Elephas maximus indicus: one gene and its partner. The protein of the gene in region 1 interacts with the protein of each later gene in a pairwise test. Links are inferred from orthologs where the notes say so. Each region holds a gene or a part of one and is shown on either strand. Other genes may lie near its edges.

Region 1 (8,545 bases):
GACTTATTTCACTGAGCATAATGTCCTGTGCTGAGTTCCTTTTGTTTTTGTAGATTTTGTTTTTATCAAGACTTTATGATTTTCTTCTTTATTTTTATGAGTAGGTTATAAACTTCTCTGTGGTTACTTTGAGATTTACCCTTATCTTCCTAGGTTTGAACCAGTCTATTATTTCATGGTATCACTTTGCCTTCTTCTCCATTAGAACATTGTATACCTATAACGTTTATTCCCTCTTTTATTGTTCTGATGTTGTTGTCATTTACAGATTAACCTCTCTAGTTCCCTATTGCAGTTGTTTTGGTTTTGGATAGTCCATGAGAGTTCATTTCCTACGTTGGTATCTGGCTGATACAATCCTGCATCCTAGATTCAGGCTGTGGTCTGATGTTGTTTGTTCTAATACTGAAGGACTCCCTTTAATAATTCTTTTAAGTTTGGTTTAGTTTTTACATATTCCCTTAATTTCTGTTTATCTGGAAATGTCCTAATTTCACCATCATATTTGAACTAAAGTTTTGCAGAATATACTATTCTTGGTTGGCAATTTTTTTCTTTCAAGGTTTTATATATGTCATCCCATTGTCCTCTTGCCTGCGTGGCTTCTGCTGAATAACCAGATCTTAGTCTTATTGTTTCTCCTGTGTATGTCACTTTTTGTTTTTCTCAAGCTGCTTGCAGGATTTCTTCTTTGTCTTTGGTTTTACCGAGTATGATTATGATATGTCTTGGTGTTTTTCTTTTGAAGTCTATCCTATATGGGGTTCATTGAGCTTCTTGGATGGTCAGCTTTTCATCATTCATGATATTAGGGAAGTTTTCTATCAGCAATTCTTTAATGATCCTCTTTGTGTTTTCCATTTTCTCTCCCTGTTTGGAACTCCAATCACTCACAAATTTTTGCTTTTGATTGTATCCCACATAATTCTCAGGGTTTCTTCATTTTTCTTCTTTTTCCTGATTTTTCCTCAAACAGAGTTGTATCCAATTATTTGTCTTCAATTTCACTAATTCTGTCTTCCACTATTTCAAACCTACTCCTCAGCCCCTCTATGACGCTGTCCATTTCTGAAATATTGTTGTTTATCTTTTGGATTTCTAAGTATTGTTTTTGTATGATTTCTAGTTGTGAATTTATTTTGGCATTTTGTTCCTGTATTGCTTTCCTGAATTGTTCCATTTTTTGGTCTATATTTTCCATGAATTTATCTGCCTTTTCCAAAATTTGTCTTTTTTTTTTCCTTATTTTTGTCTGCTTTTTACTTCAACTCTTGGATTGCTCTGAATATTAGAGATCTGAACTCCCTGTCAGCATCCTGTCCTGTTTTTCTATATGTTGTGATATTGTCTGCTGTCTCTGGGACATTCAGTAGTTATTCTCTTCATTTCTTGATTGTAGATTTGCTTGTTTTGCCCTGATTTTTTCCTTTATTTGGTTTTGTTTGAGCAGGTGGGCTGTGTGTTCTTTGTTGTTTGCTCATCTGTAATCATGATACTTTTCACCTCCTTGTACAATGGGCAGGGTCAGTCATTCAGCTATGGTGCAGCAAGGCAGGTCCAGCTGAAAGGAGGGCTGGGATGGGTTCTTTGTGGCACATACTAGGGCTGACAGGGCAGGCCAGAAATCAGTGCTGAGCAGGTTCCACTAGGCCATGCCTGTGCTGCTCAGGGGTGTGGGAAAGAGGAAAGAGAGGAAAGAAAAACAGGAGCCAAAAACAAACAAGCAAACACAGAAGGGGGAAAAAAAAGAGTGCTAAGGAAGCTTGCCGTTAGAGTGGAGAGAAGAGAAACCAAGAAATGGAGAAAAGCAAAAAGAAAAAGGGAAAAAGAAAAAAATAACTAGATAAAAATTTCAAAAAGAAAAAAAGGCCCCAAGAGTCCCAGAGTATCACCAGTGGGGCTGCTAAGACCGGGGAAGTGGCTCCCAGGCTGCACAGTATAGCCTGGCTAGAGGGAATATAGATGTCACACAGCACCAGGTGTTCAGGAGACAGGAAAAGAAGGTAAGTGTAGAGAGATGAGAACTGAGGACTGAAGACAGACAGAAAGGGAAAAAGAGAGAAAAGAAAGAAAAAAAAGAAATGCCCCCAGAGATCCCACCTAGGTGGCTGCGCAGATCGGGGAGTGGCTCCTGAGCCATGCAGTGCAGCCCAGCTAGAAGGGGCTCCCAAGGTTCGAAAACAAACAAAACAGAGTAAAACAAGGAAAAAGAAGCCCCAGGGATTCCACCAGCATGGTGTCATTGGGCCAGAAGAGTGGTTCCCCAGTTAAGCATGGCTTCACAGCCTTTCAAGAAGAAGCAAAGATGGTACACGTAGCCAGGTGTTCCAGAGAAAGGAGGGGGAGGCACAGAAGAAACCAAGAGAGGGAAAGAACCTACCCCAACTCATGGACCCGGCCAGTGTGGGCAGGGTGAATCCAAGCATCCTGAGGCCAAAGCAGTTGCTTCCCAGCCAAGAGACTGCAGCTGGCGGGAAGCAGAGGAGGCCGAAGTGGGGGAGGAAAAAGGGGGGATTTAGGAAACCGTATGTGGCTCATTACCAGGTGCTCTGTCTCCTGCTGGGACCTTCCTAAAGCTGCTTTCCCGTACTCCCTGTCTGCGGATGACGATGTGGGTGGGGCGAATCCAAGCAGCATGGACTCTGCACTTCCCAGCCTGCCAAGCCACTGCAGCTAGCCAGCTGGGAGAGAATGAGGGGTGGGAAAGTGTGTATCCCTGGTTACCAGGTGCTTCATCTCCTCCTGGGAGTTCCCCAAAGCTGCTTTCCCATGCTCCCTGTCTGCGATCCCTGACTGGCGGCAAGATGGCGGATCTCTACTGCCTTAGCTGATGGGACCCTCTGCACGTATCTCTCCCCTTCTCGGTCCTCTGTCAGTTTCTTAATCCATTCAGTGCTTGGCTGAGTTCTCTATCTCTTCGTTTGGCACTTCCAGTTCCAGGAATGATGTTTGTCTCTGTTTTACTTAGTTTTTCAGGTCTTTGCTGTGGAAGGACAGCGTGGTGCTTCTGTCTATGGTGCCATGTTGGCCGGAATTCCAACCATGGTGTTTTCAGTTGCCTCACATGCATGCAAAAGCTGGACGGTGAATAACGAAGACCAAAGAAGAATTGATGCCTTTGAATTGTGGTGCTGGCGAAGAATATTGAATACACCAGGCACTGCCAGAAGAACAAACAAATCTGTCTTGGAAGAAGTACAACCAGAATGCTCCTTACAATCAAGGATGGTGAGACTAGTCTCACATACTTTCTGCATGTTATCAGGAGGTATCAGTCCCTGGAGAAAGACATCATGCCTGGTAAAGTAGAGGGTCAGTGAGAAAGAGGAAGACCCGCAAGGAGATGGATTGACACAATGGCTGCAATGGTGGGCTTAAGCATAACAAGGATTGTGAGGATGGCTCAGGACCAGGCAGTGTTTTGTTCTATTGTACATATGGTCACTGTGAGTCAGAACTGACGTGACGGCACCTAACAACAAAACAGTGACAGGAGGGCCCAGGAATAATGAATTGGTAACAATTAGAGCATGTGGAGTCACCACATGACAACTCAACTAAAAAAAAAAGCTAATGGTACCAGTTATGAATTTATATATATTAACAGGACTTTGTCCTTTATAGTAAGGATGGGGAGAAAAAGGGATGGGCAAGCATAGTTTATGCTGAAGAAGCTGCTGGTGCTCTTTTTACTTCATTCACTGGATGCTGCAAACTGTTAACATACTTAGCTGCTAACTAGAAAGCTGGAGGTTCGAGTCCACCCAGAGGCACCTCGAAAGAATGTCCTGATGATCTACTTCAGAAAATCAGCCATTGAAAACGCTGTAGAGCACAGTTCTACTGACACACATGGGGTCACCATGAGTCTGAATCAACTACATGGCAAATGGTTTTGTTTTGTTTTTATCTATAGAAAAAGAAATACATCATCCTCCAGGTAACACAGCCTGAAAACTCATCATGGTGTAAGCCAGGATTGAACCCTTTGCCACCTGGATCCTTATGTTCCTCAAGCCATATCCATTGACCCATTGCCATGGAGTCAATTTTGACCCATAATGACCCCGTAGAAAAGAGTAGGACTGCCCCATAGGGTTTCCAGTGAGCAGCTGGTGGATTCGAACTGCCTACCTTTTAGTTTGTAGCCAAGCTCTTAACCACTGCACCACCTGGGCTTCTCTATGTTGAACAGGAGTAGTGAAAGAGGACTTCATTGGCTTGTTCCTGGTCTTAGGGGTAAAGCATTTGGTTATCTTTAGGTTTTTCTAGCCATGGCTGCTACCTATTCAAATTGAAAGATAGAGGTGTGATATATCTATTTGATAGGCATTTTAGATTTATTTACTCATTTCAACTCCCTAGAACCCTGTTATGTGGGTAGAATTATCCAAGATCATATAGTGAGTAGATGACAGAGCCAGGGCTTTATTATGATCTGATCGTAAGGTCGATACTCATTTAGCCAGAACGGCCTGCCTTGCAGTCTGATGCGTTTAAAGTCATTAATAAAATCTAATCCAGCAACTTCTTAAAATGTGGCCCGCAGATCTGGACATCAGAATCACTGGCAATGTTTGTTAACAAACCAGATTCCCTGGCCCCACCCAAGACCGAAGAATCAGAAGAGGAGCCAGGAATCAGTATTTTTAAAAAGTACCTTCAAGTGATTCTTTTGCAGGTAATCTATGAATGCAAATTATTTCTATACAAACTGAAGTATGAGGATCACAAGTTTAAGATACCGGCATTGTTGAAAGCCAATAGCATACTGCCTCAGCCGACTTCAACCCGGCAGGACAGCCCATAACCAAATTCTAATCTCCGAAGCGCCTCAGCGAGCAGCCGCACAACGCAACTGAGCACGCGCGGCACTGACTCTCCCTCGCGCTGGTCGCGGCTCTTTAAGACCACGCCCCCTCAGGACCGGCCGAAGCAGGGGGCGGGTCTCTCTTTAAAGACACCAAATTCCGTCGTCTCACGCAGGGGTCCAAAGCCCCGCCCCCGACACTCGGACCAATCAAACAACAGATTGCTGAAGCTCGGGGCCAATGCACAGGGCTGTTCTTAATTAGTCTCTGCAGTTTGAAACTGTCAGGTTGCTTCTAGGGTAGCAGCTGTACTCGCTGTTTTAGTGGCGACGCGGTGGGGAGACGCAGGGTGGCGTTCGGATTCTGTCCAGAGCCGGTGACGGTGGGTAGCGGCGCCCCGGGCGGGCCCCGCTTTCAGGCTAAGGTATAGGAGTGGAGGTTCAAGTTCCTTGGCCCGGGTTTCCGCTGCCGGGCTGCCATACGGAAGGGCTGGGGACGTCTTCCCGAGACGCGGGCGATTTAGCTGTTCTGGGAGTGCCTGAGGTTTTTCCACTCCAAGGCATCGGCAAAAAGGGCAGGAGTGAGGGCCTGCCCGAAGTGTAGCGGTCCTGTTGCCGCAAAGTTCTGGTAATTTAAAACGGGGGGGGGGGGAATCATACGTAAAGCTTTATTATTTTTAAGTGAGAATTTGATGAAAACAAAAATGGATAGGAAAAGAGATTGAAGAAAACTTCTCCGTTTTCTTGCTTGCAACTGCTTTTTTCCTTTGATGTGGGGAGGGGCTGGTGTGCCCCTCCCCTTGCTTGCTGCTAGGACCCGGAACCGGCACAGGGGTCATCATCCTGCTGCCGGCTTGCACGTTAATTTACTCTTCCTCTGCTTCTTGGGGTTACATTTGAATTCCCAAACTCCTCTTTCCCTACCAGCCAGATAATTACCCAGATGTAATTTGATTTCTCTGGCAATAGAGAAGCACCCAAAACTTTTTATCTTCTGGTTTCCAAGACCTTGGTTTAAAGAATACTGAAAATTTAGTAAACTAATGTGCCTTTGCTACCCATGAAAGCAAGTTTCATTTTTCTCCTTTGAATCTAGAAACAGTAAGGAAAATGTAGGGTTTTCAATAAACTGTGTACCTTCTTTGTATCAAAGCAAGATGAATGGAATACTTAGAGCATATTTTCCAAAAGTCCAGTAGTAGTTTTGTGTCGGCAGTATCTATGTTCAGAAACTCATTTTTGATGTCTGATCATACTCTTCAGCCCTTCTTTTTTTTTTTTTTTATCAGCACCAGCCTACCCCTACTCCTATTACCTACCCAGTCTGCAAACAAATACTAAAGGAAGCGAATGAAAATATAAATAAACCACGTTACCACAGTAGTGGATATGAAATCAGTGAAACAGGCCTCCCTTGTTGCAGATGTATGTGCTTATTTTATCCTTCCTAATTGGCTTAACTAAAGACAATCATGCTGAGATTTCAGTTCCTTATTATGTGTTAATACATACAAAGTCATGAGATTTCATTTCCTTATTATGTGTTAATACATACAAAGTAATGTTCATGAAATAAAATTACCTTTTAAGGTCTTCACAATCTAGCTCCAGTTTATGTTTCCATTCCAATATTGCACTCTTCCTGTATTAGCCCTTTTTACCTCAGTTTCCTCATCTCTCCGTCCTTCATCCCACTGTGCTTGAGACCTGTTCCATTTTCCACTAAAATTGCTCGGGCAAGTGTCACAGCAACTTCTTGATTGCCAAATTCAAGGGACTCTGCAATCTTCACCATCTCACTCTGATACTGCCTTCTTGAAATTGTGATTGTGCTCTCCTACTTCTCCTGTTATGACTTCTTTCTCAGTCTCTTTGCTGGCTCTTCTCTTCTCCTTTAAATGTTAGTGGTTCTGGGTTTAACCCTCTTTTCAAAGTAGTGGTCCTTAATAAATTAGGGTTATAGTTCCCTGTGAACACATATTGAAAGGTAAGGATCCTCTTCCTAGAGAGATGGATATGTGTATTTATACTAAAAATACTGTGGGTAATTTGGGTGTAAGAACCTCAGGTTAAGAATTCTTTCTCACACTCCTTTTGTTTTAGCAGCCCTCATTATGTTGATAATTCCTCAAATTATATGGCTAATCTACACCTTCAGTACAGGACGTCTACACTGCATAACTCCAGGAAGCACCATTGGCATTTTAGCCATTGTGAATGATAGTCCTTGGAGTTGTACAGTGCATAGCCAGCGTGGCCATACACTGCATACCTACAGCTTCACCTCTGCCTCAGAAGCACCTCATACCCAGCATATCTGATATTGAAGTCATTGCCCTTCCTCTCAACATGCCTATCTTCCTACATTCCCTGCCTTGGTGAGTAGTGCTATCATCTATGTCACCCAAGCCAGAAGTCAGAAAACCATCAACAGTTCCTCCTTATAACCCCTTAACCAGTTATTGATCATGATCTTTTATTTCCACTGCCGTAACACATCTGACTCATAGTTGAACCCTCCGTCCCTTTCCCATTGCTGCCTCTTAGATTCAGGTCCTTATTTATCTCCTGGATTACTGCTGGAGGGAACACTGATATCATAGACTACTGCAGTAGGCTCCCAATATATCTCTCTTCAGTACCCCACCTCTCTAGTCTATCCTCAAAACTGCCAGATAGATCCTTCTAAAAGCCAAGCCTAATCATGTTATCAAACTTCCTAGAAGGAGCCCTGGTGGCTCAGTGATTAAGCACTCAGCTAGTAACTTAAAGGTCGGCAGTTCAAACCCACCAGTGGCTCCATGGGAGAAAAGACCCTGCAATCTGCTCCTGTAAAGATTATTGTTGTGTGTTGTCGTGTTGATTCCAACTCATAGTGACCTTGTAGGACAGAGTAGAACTTCCCTTTAGGCTCTTCTAGGCTGTAATCTTTATGAGAGCATATCATGAGGTCTTTTCTCCCACAGAGCTGCTGGTGGGTTCAAACCATTCACCTTTCAGTTAACAGCCGAGGGCTTGACCATTGTGCCACCAGTGTTCCTTCCTGCAAAGATTACAGTCTAGGATACCCTGTGAGGCAATTCTTATTTGTCATAGAGTCACTATGAATCAGAATCAACCTGACAGTACGCTGCAAGAGGTGGCACAGTTTGCACTCAACTGCTAACAGAAAGGTTGGTGGTCTGCTTTTGTTTACGAATATAGGCAAAGAATATAGGCAAGGAAACCCTGTGGATTAGTTCTACTCGGTAACGCATGGGCTCTCCCTGAGTCGAAATCGACTTGATGGCACTAAAAACAACAACAGCAAATCCTGTTATCACTGGTTTAAAACAATTTATGTTTCAGGCTGAGATCTGCTCATCATTTGGGTTTCAACTCCTGGGTCATTTGTCTTCTCTAAAAAACTTTTTCTGGCTCTTTCCCCTTCTTCACACACCTAAAGCCTCACCTCAGGAAATGACTACTCCTACTTTCCTACTTTCTACCTTTGCTGTTTTAAGGTCTAACAGCACTTTTTTTCATCAATCAGTTATTTATATTATGTATATACCTGGGCGTCATTACAAATTGTAAAGTCCTTGAGGACAAAAACTTTCTTCATCTTATATTCCTCACCGATATCTTATACATAACTGGTGTTCAGATATTTTGAACAGTCACTATTTGTCTCCTGAATAATTTGTTTACCTGTTACTAAAAGTACTTTCATTATCTTTATTTTTGAGTTAGGGC
Region 2 (6,714 bases), on another chromosome or scaffold:
TAAATGGCTCCACGTATTCAAGGATAAATAGTTTGGCTCAGTTGTTGTTGGTTTTGGGGTCCCCCATCTACTACCTCAGCACAGTTGTCTAGCTTATGTAGGAGAAGTGTCAAGCATTTGCATTTTTTTCTGTTCTGCATTTGCTGGAAAGTAAATAGGCAGCAATAAAGAAACTATTATGCACGCTTTCTGCCTTGGGTGGCACCTGGAATTTGCTGAATTTGCTGAGTGCGAGTTAAATTTTAAAAGGCTCCTGAGCTTCACCTTTTTCATGCCATGGAAGTCAAATGGAAAACCAAATAATAAGAACAAGCAAGCTGCGTGAGTCTTTTCTCTTGCTCTCAACTGACGCCAGGCCCTGTTGTGGAATTCCAGCACCTCCCCCCTTCCAGCTGTTAAGTTTCCAGGACCAGACTTAAACAACCATCTCCTCTCAGATAATCAACAGCCGATTTTGCATATTACCTAGGACATCATGGTACAAGAATTTTTAAAGGCAAAAAAAAAAAACGCTCATAGCCAATGGTTTTCCAGCACATCTCATTTACTTGATGTTAGCCTAATTAGATCTTTAAAAGTGACTTTAAAGTAACCAAGCTGATTTTCACATGCATTAGATCCATGCTCACTAACGCCAACCAAAGGCACTTTGCCCAGACTGCCTTCCATTAACTTGTACACAGAGTTGAGAGCAGGGGGTGGAGTGAAGCAGAGTTGAAGAACAACAAATGTAAATTCCAAGCACTTTGTTCTTTCGTCTCTTGGTGGCTGGTCCCAAAATGGGACCCTGCCCAAGATCCTACAAATTGTGTTAAACCTTTCTAGGTGAGATGCTTCGTTATTGTTAGGTTTAGAGAAGAAAATCAGATGCCATATATTACCAATGACACGACATTTTGGTAATAACCTTGGCTTTTGGAGGTGGCAGCATGGTATAGTGGACAAAGCCTCAGCACTGGACTCAGATAGGCCAATGTTTAAGTCCCAGCACCACCCTTCAGTGGCTGTGTACCTTTGGATACATTCCTGTGCCTCATCTGCAAAATGAGAAATGATTGCAAAGATTTAAATGAGATGGCAAATGTGAGGACCAAGCCCAATGCTAGGCACACCATCAATCGCTTTTAAGTTTCCCTTTCCTTTCAAAGTCAGATCTCGGATTATGAACACTAAATAACTCCCCAGGCAAAGCTGACTCTGTCCATGGGCACTGTGGTCTACTCAGGGAGGTCTTGGTGGCCCTTTGTTGTGACTGTTGATTGCACACATCTGGAAACTATGACAACTGTTTTGCTTTGAGCTCAACTTGGCCCAAATGCAGCTCTATGTAAGGCAGCTTCTATCCTTCAGTTTTTCCCAACTCATCATAGCTTGGCTTGAATTTGGGCAAAGGATTGGGTGGCAAAGGAAATGCACAATGTCAGGGAGGAATTGAGATTCAGTTAACAATGATCCAGCCTTCTATGGCCCCACTAGGGAACTGCCTCTGGAGCTTTCATATGCATTAGCTCATTGAAACTGCACAGGAGCTCTACTAGGAAGATTTATTATTATGCCTACTTTGCAGATGCTTGAATTGAGTCTGGGAGGTTGTAAAATGGTGGTAGTGGCTGGATTAGCATCAGAACCTGTCTAACTTCTGGGGGGCTAATGACCAGCAACAGCCTTAAAGTGATCCCTATGGGGTAGAGGTCAGAGATACTTCCACTCTTTGAACTTTTACCAATTCTGACACCAACCATACTTCTCACAGCAATGGCCACACAGAACTCACAGACCATACTTATAGTTAAGTGGCATATTAAGGAAGTAACAGGGTACAATTTGGGATCAGGATCAATAGGCTACAACTCAGGACCAGGATTAGGAAGTATGTAGATAAAATCTTCCTTCTTCTGTGCAGGACAGCTCTCTCAGCTCCTCTTGTCTGTGCAGGCCTCCTCTCAGCCCCATCAGGACAGGCCCCTCTCAGCCCCCTCTGGACAGGCCCCTCTCACTCCACTCAGGACAGGCCCTGGTCAGGCCCCTCAGGACAGGCCATTCTCAGGACAGACCTCTCTGCCTTCGGCCTCCCTGCTGTTAGCTCTGCTGCCAGGGCCCCTTGCAGGCTGGTCTCCATCTCAACCTCTGGGCGCCTTCTGGGCCTCTTGTGGCCTTCAATGTTACCGCCTTTGACCAAAGTTACAGCTTTTTTAGAAGATTCCTTGTCTCTTCTCTCTTTGCTTCTTCTCTCATCTTTCTCCTTTCTGCTTCTTCCTGCTTCCTGTTTCTAAAATCTCTGTGTGGTTGGCTGCTTATATACACAACTCCCTGTCAATTTCAAATAATGGTCCCTCCCAGCAGGGGGACAGATATGTCATTTGCATAGTAGGTGATAGTCACCTCGTGGTATAGCCTACTGACCAATCCTGCAAGGTACATACTAATTACAGGGCCAGCTGCAGCACAGAACCAGACAAAAAGTATCAAAACCAAGTTGTTTATAGCTTACTCAGTGTTATGTGTTCCCCCAAAATATCTATTAACTTGGCTAGGCCATGATTCCCAGTATTGTATCATTGTCCACCATTTTGTCATCTGATGTGATTTTCCTGTATATTGAAAATCCTACCGGTATGATGTTAATGAAGCAGGATTAGAGGCAGTTATGTTAATGAGGCAGGACTCAATCTACAAGATTAGGTTGTATATTGAGTCAGTCTCTTTCGAGATATGAAAGAGAGAAACAAGCAGAGACACAGAGGGAACTCCTATCACTAAGAAAGAAGAGTCAAGAGTGAGAGCATTCTTTGGACCCAGAGTTCCTGCGCCTAAGAAACCCCTAACCCAGGAGAAGACTGATGACAAGGACCTTGCCCCAGAGTTGACATAGAGAGAAAACCTTCCCCTGGAGCTGGCTCCCTGAATTTGGACTTCTAGCTTCCTAAACCCTGAGACAATAAATTTCTCTTTGTTAAAGCCATCCACTTGTGGATTTCTTTTACAGCAGCACCAGGTGACTAAGACACCCAGGAATTGTCAATCAACCTGGACAAAAGCAACAAACCCTCTGGGTAACTCCTCAGGGCTTAGGGGAAAAACCCCTCAAGAGGCTTTTCCAAAGAACCAAGGCAAAAGGCCACATAAAGGAACTCATTTCACCACAGAGGTTAAGTGACTTTCCCAAGGTCACAGTTAATAAGTCAGTGACTTATTAAGTCTGGTTTTGGATATGGGAGGAGGCAGGAGGATTTGCATTGTCGAAGTATGAGCAGCTATAGCGTCTGCCTGCCAAAGTCTACTTTGAGCTGATGATGTCTATGACAAGAGCTGAAAAGTGGGAGAGGGGAGATCCCAGATGAGTTTCCTTGGCCTTTGAAACCCTTTGCCCAGGACTCTGTCCAGTAAGCCATATATCCTCAGGGGCAGGTAATGAGATCTGGCTAATTAAACATGCCGTGTATACCATATCTGATCACTAATTTAAAAAAATTGAATTCGTAAAACACTACTAGCACTATTTAATCTTTTGGGTATGTTTGTGTGTTTTAGGACCAACATTATATTGTCATTCATTTATTCAACAAATATTTATTAACCCTTCTAATTGTGAGTCACTCACTGTTGTAACTGGTTGAATAGTGATATTTTTTTTCTTTCAAGAAAGCTAAAAGAAAAAAAAGGTTTCCTTTCCTTTTTTAGCTGTATGAAGAATTATGGGTGGAAACCGTGGTGGCATACTAGTTAAGTGCTACACCTGCTAAGCAAAGAGTTGGCATTTCAAATCCGCCAGACATTTCTTGGAAGCTCTATGGGGCCGTTCTACTCTGTCCTATAGGGTCGCTATGAGTCGGAATTGACTCGACGGCACTGGGTTTAGTTTTTTTGGTAAAGAAGTATGGAGCAATTCTAAGTAATCCACTTATGGGCTTACTTAGTGATTTTTTTCTTTTTTCCTTCTTTTCACTTGAAAAGCTATTTTTCTGTTGCCCCTTTGGTTCACAGGAGGACTCCTTTGTTCCCATGAGGCAATTTTGGGTCCCAACATGCCCCATAGTTATCTCCTTCCGTGTCCACTGCCAAAGGAGGACTGCTAAGGTGTGGGTTCCAGCACAGTCTTGACTGGATGGCAATCAGTGAGAGCAATATGTTGCTGGCTAGATAGCTGCCATTGAGTTGATGCCCACTCACAGAGCTCTTAGGCACAACAAAATGAAATGCCCAGTCCCGCATCATCCCCACAATCACCAGCATGTTTGAGTCCACTGTTGTGGTTTCTATGCCAATCCATCTCACTGAAGGTCTCCCATGACCTCACTGGCCCTCTACTTCACCAGACATGATGTCTTCCTCCACCGATGGAGCCCTCCTGATAACATGTCCAAAGTTGGGCAATGTTTTGTTGTGATCCATAAAGTTTTCATTGGCTAATTTTTGGAAGTAGGTCATCAGGCTTTTCTTCTTAGTCCGTCTTGGTCTGGAAGCTCTGCTGAAACCTGTCCACCATGGGTGACCATGCAGGTATTTGAAATATCAGTGGCATAGCTTCCAGAATCACAACCACATGCAAGCCATCACAGTACGGCAAACTGACAGAAGAAGGTGGAATATGGTGCTAGGGTTTTTAAAAACCAGAGTACCAGAATCTATAGTATTCCCCCACTCCCAATTAAAAGTAAACCGAATAAAATTATGACCATTATTCAAGTGCAACTATTCTGAGTATTTATAAATGAAACACTGAAAGTAAATTGCACATTCAGATATTACATCTCATATTTGAGGACAAGCCAAATAAACTTGTGAAGTTCTATTATCGTTGAATGTAATGTCAGGCGACAAACTTCTACTATTTTTATGGATAACGGTTTCCATTTTATCTGCTTTTCTGTTTATGTCAACTTGGATGCTTGGTGTGACCTTTAATATTTTTCCTACTACTTCCCCTCATCTAATGTCAAGTGATTCAAACCCAGTCTCCAGGATCCTAAATTTACCCTTAACCTCAGACTAAGGGTTTTAAAATAAGTATGGGAAAGGAGAGAAGAAGGACTTCCAAATAAATAGACAAAACTGGTTTCAATGGATGTTAACAAATGGTCTAGGAAAAAAGAACAGTCAAGTACCAATGAATTATGGAAGACAACTGTGGCTATCGGCAGCTATTGCCAGCTCAGGTATCAACTCGTGGACGCTAACGGTAAATAGGATCGCGCAGACGTGACAGGCTCAGTGGGATAGGGCTCTCTGGGATAGCGCAGTGGAAGGACTGACCGTTGGGAACGAATGAGGTGCAAGGCTGTGCCCGCGCACCGGGTGGGGGGCCCCAGCGAGCAGCGCTAACGCCGTTGAACTAACAGCCGCCGCAGAGGATGGCGTCCAGCTTTAAGAAGTCACATGTGGCCTCTGCCAGCCAGAGAAGAAAGGTGGGCCCAAAGCCTGAACTCACTGAAGATCAGAAGCAAGAAGTTCGGGAAGCATTTGATCTCTTCGATGCTGACGGCAGTGGGACCATCGACGTGAAGGAGCTGAAGGTGGCCATGAGAGCGCTGGGCTTTGAGCCCAGGAAGGAGGAGATGAAGAAAATGATCTCCGACGTGGACAAGGAAGGCACTGGGAAAATCAGCTTCAATGACTTCTTGGCCGTGATGACCCAGAAGATGGCTGAGAAAGATACCAAAGAAGAAATTCTGAAGGCTTTCAGGCTCTTTGATGATGATGAAACCGGAAAAATCTCTTTCAAAAACCTCAAGCGTGTGGCCAATGAATTGGGGGAAAACCTCACGGATGAGGAGCTGCAGGAAATGATTGACGAAGCTGATCGGGATGGAGACGGTGAAGTAAACGAGGAAGAGTTTCTTCGGATCATGAAGAAGACCAACCTTTATTAAAGCCAGCTTCCCCTGGCAAACGCCAAGTTCAGTGACGACTTGGATTTCCCGCTTCTGTTTTGTGAAAACTTGTTTTAGAGGGCAGCGGGTATCTCTCCCCATCCCCACTAATTTGTCTAGATAATTCTATTTCTAAATTTTTGGCTCCATTATAGAATTTTAAAGATGTTTTTAATTTGAGTTTTTGTTTTTAATTCTCAAGAGCAGAGCTGGAGCACATTAGATTGGATAAAGGCCCTGAAGCTTCTATCCACCTGCCATTTTGCCTTTCACTTGTGGACATCCATTAAAGCAATATGAAACAGCTTCTTGGGACAATCAGAAATGTGGGTTTCCTTGTCACTTCTTTGGTGTTCCCACATTATCTTGCTTCAGCATTCCTTAAATTCAAGTCATTGTTCCAGCAAGATGAAACAATCTGCCAGCGGTCATCCTTGCACTGCTTTTCACTAAATTAAATTCTGTTGGGAAGGAAAACGGTTGCTCACTTAGGTACTTGCTGGGCTCAGGAAAGATAGTGTTATGAAGTATAGGCTTGGCAAATTGTACAACTTAGTCTATTCTCTGGCTTCATCACATGAAATGCTTTTTTGTCGTTTGTGTGTATATTATCTACTATGAATTATCGAGGGCCAGAATGAATACCTGGACTATAGATTAAAAGCACAGTTTAACACTGGCTCAAGCAAAATATAATTTGCTTGAGAGATGAAGCTAACTAATGATTTTGAGTAAATATTTGCAAATGTAAGGACTTAGTTTAGAAAATTGTAAAAAAAAAAAAAATCTACGTTTTAAGCTATTTGTCCTTATAAGATAAGCTAACAAAACCTTAGATATTTTA

The links.
Region 2: the proteins of POC5 (region 1) and CETN1 interact in binary tests that used the Homo sapiens proteins (3 or more experiments, as listed by UniProt). The link is inferred for Elephas maximus indicus from reciprocal best matches to the Homo sapiens genes POC5 and CETN1.

Annotation. Positions count from the first base shown.
Region 1 is NC_064820.1:80,287,205-80,295,749, reverse strand, and holds the start of POC5 (centrosomal protein POC5), read left to right. Parts: upstream 1-5,089; 5' UTR 5,090-5,193; exon of another isoform or gene 5,194-5,438; intron 5,439-6,913; 5' UTR 6,914-7,188; intron 7,189-8,545. UniProt on the Homo sapiens protein: Essential for the assembly of the distal half of centrioles, required for centriole elongation. Acts as a negative regulator of centriole elongation.
Region 2 is NC_064829.1:26,009,484-26,016,197, reverse strand, and holds CETN1 (centrin-1), read left to right. Parts: upstream 1-5,351; coding exon 5,352-5,870; downstream 5,871-6,714. UniProt on the Homo sapiens protein: Plays a fundamental role in microtubule-organizing center structure and function. Plays a role in sperm cilia formation.